Canis lupus familiaris: one gene and its partner. The protein of the gene in region 2 binds, or shares a complex with, the protein of the main gene of each other region. Links are inferred from orthologs where the notes say so. Each region holds a gene or a part of one and is shown on either strand. Other genes may lie near its edges.

Region 1 (2,674 bases), about 170 kb from region 2:
AGAATCATGAGTCATTTGTTTAAGATAAGATTTGAATATATTAATGATTACCTGCCTATTTCAAATGTTCATAAATGAAGTAAAATGAATACAACCCCCCAAACCTGTGTAAAAGGCCATATAAGAGCTCAGTTTTCTGATGTTCAACTATGTGAAACAGAAGAATAAACCCAGTCTCTCAACTTAGTGCTTCTTTTTGCGTCTTCTTCCCTTCTTTGAAGAAAGAAGAGCTAAGGATGATTAAACCAAGTTTTGATAGAAAAATCTCACTTTAGCAAGTGCTATCATGCTAAAGCTATATATGCCAGGCCTGAATTCAGGAAGAGCATATAGTTTTAAGATAGGAGGTTGGAGATTTAAAGAAAAAAGGTTATGTGATTTCCATGATACATCAGGCTCAGATAGAAGAGCTAGGAAAACATTTCAAATCTTGGAAGGAAATACAATCAAAATGAAACAAAAAAAATGTAGTTCCCTTGGAATAACCAATTTCAAGGACAGGAATGTCTGAGAGGTGTTATCACTGTATATCTCTTTCACATGCCTCTAAAATTTTTTTTTCTTTTCTTGAGCTTTGAATAGGGATAATTTCGTGAAAGAGAAATCACAAAACTACAGTGAGTACGAAGAAAATATTTTAATAAAATACTCAATACAGTATTTCCCTGTAGGGGCTTTTAAGAAGTGAGAAGCCAAAGGAAATAATTGCCACTTTTGGGAATCCAGTCCTAAATGAGACAGGAATGTTCTTAGCCTTTCTCCAAAGCTCTTTGCCCAGTTCCGCCAACAGGCTGCCATTAGGAGGACGAGGAAACCTGCAAAGGTCACTGTGAAGAAGTGACTGAACACAATCTGTTTAGAAGCAGCCAGAGATAAGCAGTTTTTACCTCTGGCTTCTTACCAGATGTAGTATCTGGAAAAAAAGAGAGGGCTACATACTAGCTGATACAAAAGGTGTTAACAGCATACTTTTAGGGTTCCCCCTCATCCTACCTGCATTTCTAGAGGGCCAACGGAAACAGAGAGATCTGTGGTTTCAACCACTAAGCATTTCACACAGAGTCATTCCTTGGCCAGCTTTTGTACTCAAGGTCTATTCCTATTACTGTAATCCTTGGGTTTCAAATTGAGAGAAACAAGAGCATACTATTTCCTATACACAATAGAAGAATATCACTGCAAATACTGCACATATGAAACAAGTGTCAGCCATGAATCCTCCATGTTGTGTGTTACTGTTTATTGACACAGAAAGTGCTGTTGCTTGAATATGAGCATCTGGTGATAGAAGGATAAATTACTGTGTTCCCGCTCTAGTACAGTCTGACAGTGCTTTGCATAAACCACCAGGTGTGTCTTGCTGTCATGATTCTGATGTGTTCTGATTTCCTTCTGGAGTCATAAATTGCACCTTTGGCACCATGAGGGATGAGTTGTTCCTTCGGATGGAGTTGTTTCTCCTCATAGAATTGTTTCTCCTCATGGAATTGCGCTTCCTCAGAGAATTTTGATGGGACAGCTCACTCTTCTGGAGGGTCTGAATCAGGATGGAAGGCTTCTCATCCAGCTCTCGGGCACTGCACCTGGGAGCAGCTACTTTCACAGTGTTGCCAAATTTAGAGTAATCCACAGAATACACTCCCTCCTCCTCAGTTACAATAGACACAAAGCGATGGCCCCATTGGATCTCTTCAGCGATATAGGAGGTTCTCGCTTGTGTGGTGATGCCAGTAGTTTCGACCACTCCTTCCAGAATCACTATGACCTCTAGGTCTTGGTTGGCGAGGTCAGTTGCTGAGATGTCGTACAAGGGGCTGCGCTTGTCAATCACATGGCAAATGATCAGAGGGGCCACCAGAAAAATGTTGTTACTCTCAATTGGGTTATCAACAGGAATGTCCAGCTGGTGAATGGGCACCACCTCCCCTTCGGGGGTAGTTGTCTTCTTGACCACCTGGATGCGCACTGAGGCACTGATGATCATGCTCTTCCTTAGGTCCCCCACACGGAACATGAAGCACAGTTTGCCATTTCGGACAGCAATCACTGCATGGCGGCTGAAAATCAAGGTCTCTGCCCTTCTGTGAGCCTGAGCTGTTTTCATAAAAATGCAGCCCAACATGACTGCATTGATTATCAAACCCACAATGTTCTGGAGAATCAAAACTGTGATGGCCAGAGGACATTCCTCTGTCATCATTCTCCCTCCAAATCCGATGGTCACTTGAACTTCAATGGAGAAGAGAAAAGCAGAGGTGAACGATCTGCAAGGAAGGACATCAAAAAATAGTGCCATCAGATCAAATTTTGAACAATGAAATAACATGCCAAGCTGAATTTTCCATTTTCTCCCTCCAAAGGCTATTAAATGCTTTTGGAAAGACTTGGCCACTTAACTTGTCAAATGTCTGATTCTAAACACAAGCACTTTCTCTCTCTATCTCTCTCTCATTGGAATGCGTCTACTTCCAGACTTCTGGGAAACGGTTCTATTGTTTTCTATGTCATGTAACGATGGACCTACTTATAGGAAAGCATTAAAATAATAAGTTAAAATAATAAACCCATACTTGTATTTATAGGCATATTTTGTGAAATACTTTCACAAAGGCGTAGTTTACTTGGTGAAACTTCCTACCAGGTAGATATTTATTAGTCATTGCATATCTGAGTG
Region 2 (3,830 bases):
GCTCAATAGATGTTTAGATTAGTCTGTCATTTTCACATGTGAAACGTATTTTTAAAATTTTTTAAAGATTTTATTTATTTGAGAGAGAAAGCATGCACACATGAACAAGAGGAGGAGCAGAGGGAGAGGAAGAAGCAGACTCCTTTGCTGAGCAGGGAGCCTGAGAAGGTACTCTATTCCAGGACCCTGAGATCATGACTTGAGCCAAAGGCAGTTGTTTAACCGACTGAGCCACCCAGGCACTTCTATTTTTAAAAAATTTCTAAGTTAAGAGGTCTATTTTGATTGTTTCAGGGAAGTTAATAAGTTATATATCAATAATCTAAATAACTGGATTTGTAAACTGTAAAATAATAAGGAAAATTGTATTTTTTTAGCTCTTTTCCAAATAGTTTGCGTAAGTATTCTTTCAAACTGGAATGCACCCTTACTACTCCTACTTCTACTCGCACGCTCTATGTCCTCAGCTCCCCCAAAATGTCACTTTCCATGCAATCTTTCCCACTGGCCCGAAGAATTAGTTGTTCTAGCAAGTTAATGCCCAAGATGTACCTGCAAATGAGCTTACAATGCGGGATAGTCATTTTTCTCTTGAGTTTGATACATCTGTTTCACTGGATAGTTCCAGTGAATATCCCAGGCAATACTGTGTTTTACTCATTTTTCATTCTCTTCACTAACACAAAGCAATCTCAACAAAGACTTCAGTCTATCCCACATAACTCTCTTTCCCTCCTTCCAAAAAACTGCTGCTGCTACTTGGAGTCCACTTCTAAGAAGACATATGACTTCTATTTTATCTACAGAATGTCATATGCCAAGAACATAAATAATTGAGAAGCACAGAAAACTGGCTTGTTCTTTTCTCACAGATTTACATATCAGTTTTCATGTAATTGGTAAAAGAACATTATTTCTTAAGAAATAATAAGAATATTAAAGGAACTATTCTTTTAATAAGAATATTAAAAGAAATATTAGGTGAGGATATATAGGAGAATAGATTACTTACCAATAAACAATATTGGAAAAGTAATAAACAACAGGAAGACATGAGGGACCAGGTTGAGGGCATCCACAAAGCAGGGATTTTGTAACACACCATCAAAGATATCATATGAAGAAATGTTGTTACCACAGAATGAAAGGCTCATTTCTTCTTATATGGCTTACTCTAAAAGGAAGAGAAAAAAGAAAGAGCCTCTCATTAAATTCCCTTTCATAAAATCATAGCCCTAAGAAGGAGGTGTTATTATAAAATTAACCCCTTTTATTTCTGCAATTGAGGAAATGAAACTGTATGCCAAAGTCATTTGAGAGTTTCTTATAAAGCCCTTATACATTCTATAAATCACTTCCTTTCAATCTTTTTTTTTCAGAGAAAAATATTTTATTTTAATTTGGAAAATATATAATTATTAATATCTACCAATGATGGTACCTTAAAGAAGTGTGTGTGTGACTCAAATGATTTCACAGAACAAAAACGGTGATATATCAAGAAAAAGAAAGAATAAGTGAAACCACTAACTGATACCACAAAATAGTGTAATATCAAATCCTTGCTCATCTTTTCTCACTGAAAATGAATTAGTAAACTGCTTAAACTGGACAAAATTTACCACCACTTTTCATTAACTATACAAAGGAATACTAATATATGAAACCAATGTGGCAGCAAACAGAAGTCAGCCTTTCTCTGAAGAATATTAAAATCAAGTGCTTCAGATATAAAATCAAGTGCTTGAGAAAAATAACTCAATTAATGAAATCACGTCCCACAATCAGAGAACATTCTTACATGAAATGTACTCTAATCAAGTTTTGAAGCAAGAAAAAAGTCTTTTAACTGGAAACCAATATTATAGTAGAGGAGAAGTAGACAAATTTAGAGAGGAAACTGAGGACAAGGTATCCCAGGGTTTTGCTAGCCATTGTTGTGACTTGGGCTTCTACTCAATGAAGTGGACTCTTTGAGGGGTGATTTGATCAGAGGAATGACACACTGCTACTCACATTTTAAATGAATTCCTCCTGTTGCTGCACCAAAACAGGTGATACAGGAGCAAGGAATCTGCTCCATCAAAATACCACTGTGAAATTCTGAAGAGTTTTAAGCCTTCTGAAAAATTCTTTTATAATTCCTCCTATTTATTTACCACCTCCCAAATTCTGGGCACTTTGTCTTTAGGACAACCATGCAATGTTAGTTATTTGTGTTTTACAGAAGAGCCTCAGTAACTTGCCAACCAGTAGAGTAGCGGTGATCTACACGCATGTGTCTGACTTAAACTGTTTCTCCCACTGCATCATGCAGCCTCCAACCTATTTTTAAATAACATCTCATCTATTGTCATTAAAAGAAGTAGCAGGTTAAGATTTTTAACCTCATTGGACTTTGTTTCTTTTCCACATTTATGTCACACTGGATTCTGAATTGGATTATGAAAGGTTGGCAAAGGTATAAATAAGTAAAGTAGTACCTTTTCTCTCTTCCCTTTCATTGAGAAATGATTTAGCAATGGTCATGAACAATATTGTTCCCTAGGAAGAAACCAAAGAGTGTTACACAGAAAAGATTGGCAACAGTAGGTAAGCTATCGGAGAAACCAAATTTCAAGCAGAAGTTTTATAAAGCATTCTATGAATAGAACTAGTTTAAAAGCCTGTGTTTACAGTATATAAATTCTTATTTTGAATTCCTTTCACATATTGTTTCTGGTAAGCCCTTTTATTGAACATCATTGATATGATCTCTAGTTGAGACCTTTTCTAATTTAAAAAATTATATTAAAAAAACTCAAGATGAGGGTATATGCTTGGCAAATTCTTAGCAGCTATTAAGCCTCCCAGCCTCATAAAATAATTTAAAAGGGCTTGAGATTTTTAAAATAACAGTAAAGTGGAATTTTGTATTATATACTGTAGCTACAGTGATAGATCTTAACTAAACCTACAGTGGTAATCATTTCACAATACTAAATTAAACCATCATGCTGTACACCTTAATCTTGTACAGAAATGTACATCAGGAAAACAAATGGGGGGGAACCCCAGAAGCTGAAAAATAATAGCTAGTAATGAAACTTCGAAGACTATTTCTTTTCTTTCACTTTTTTAGACTATCTCTTTTATTAAGAAGAAATGACTAAAAGAAACTTGAGTCCACACTTATTGAAAGACATGTGTAAACCGTTTCCTAGAATGGACCAGAAAATAATTTTTACTTTTGCCAGTTTTATAATTTTATCCGAAATTATAATATTTCAATTGGCCACATTTATAAATACTGATATTTAGTCACTGTCATTGAGCCAAATACTAAAGTAATATCTGAATTTGTAAAACATATACTTCATTAGCTATAATAAGCATTGCCTACCTGGTATATTTAAGCAATCCTCAAACCTACCAATCAAGTAAATGTTGGATAAACGCATATAGTGGTGGAAAGAAAATAGCAGAGAACTACAGCAACCTGAGAAAGTCAAAGAACATTTCTAGCCATGTACCTGATTATCTGGGATTCTAGGCCATTCGTTAACTCTAAAAATACTTGTTGATGCTGACCATGTGCTAGGCACTAGGAATCTAAGAATGTACGTGACCAATAGTAGCTGTGGTCTTAGGCCGCATAAATCGGACTACACTAATTCCAATAGTTTTGGTATAATGTAAAGGTTATGATCTACTAGACAGGGAAATATAAATGATATAATCACACTAAGGTATACACTTCAGATGAATAAAGTGAAAGCTTCAGAATTTCTTCCTTCTACCACTATCTCTAAGATATGCCCTGGGGCTCCCAACCTATTCACTACCTCTCA

Evidence for each region.
Region 1: the proteins of ABCC9 (region 2) and KCNJ8 are in contact, whole or in part, in a cryo-EM structure (PDB 7MIT), measured with the Rattus norvegicus proteins. The link is inferred for Canis lupus familiaris from reciprocal best matches to the Homo sapiens genes ABCC9 and KCNJ8. Residues at the interface, in XP_038963045.1 of Rattus norvegicus: Phe5, Ile10, Tyr13, Asn14, Ile15, Val19, Asn22, Cys24, Phe25, Ala28, Leu29, Val32, Val35, Phe36, Phe39, Phe42, Pro43, Ile44, Phe46, Ile47, Gly48, Trp49, Gly50, Ser51, Lys55, Gln57, Ile58, Asn129, Phe130, Lys132; in NP_058795.3 of Rattus norvegicus: Met1, Leu2, Lys5, Ile7, Ile8, Pro9, Glu11, Tyr12, Val13, Leu14, Ala15, Arg16, Ile17, Ala19, Glu20, Asn21, Leu22, Leu45, Ala46, His47, Lys48, Asn49, Gly54, Arg55, Phe56, Leu57, Asp59, Ile60, Thr62, Thr63.

What each region holds. Positions count from the first base shown.
Region 1 is NC_049248.1:21,155,225-21,157,898, forward strand, and holds the end of KCNJ8 (ATP-sensitive inward rectifier potassium channel 8), read right to left. Parts: intron 2,265-2,674; coding exon 1,364-2,264; 3' UTR 623-1,363; downstream 1-622. UniProt on the Homo sapiens protein: Inward rectifier potassium channels are characterized by a greater tendency to allow potassium to flow into the cell rather than out of it.
Region 2 is NC_049248.1:21,323,045-21,326,874, forward strand, and holds part of ABCC9 (ATP-binding cassette sub-family C member 9), read right to left. Parts: intron 2,545-3,830; exon of another isoform or gene 2,484-2,544; intron 1,175-2,483; 5' UTR 1,155-1,174; coding exon 1,013-1,154; intron 1-1,012. UniProt on the Homo sapiens protein: Subunit of ATP-sensitive potassium channels (KATP). Can form cardiac and smooth muscle-type KATP channels with KCNJ11. KCNJ11 forms the channel pore while ABCC9 is required for activation and regulation.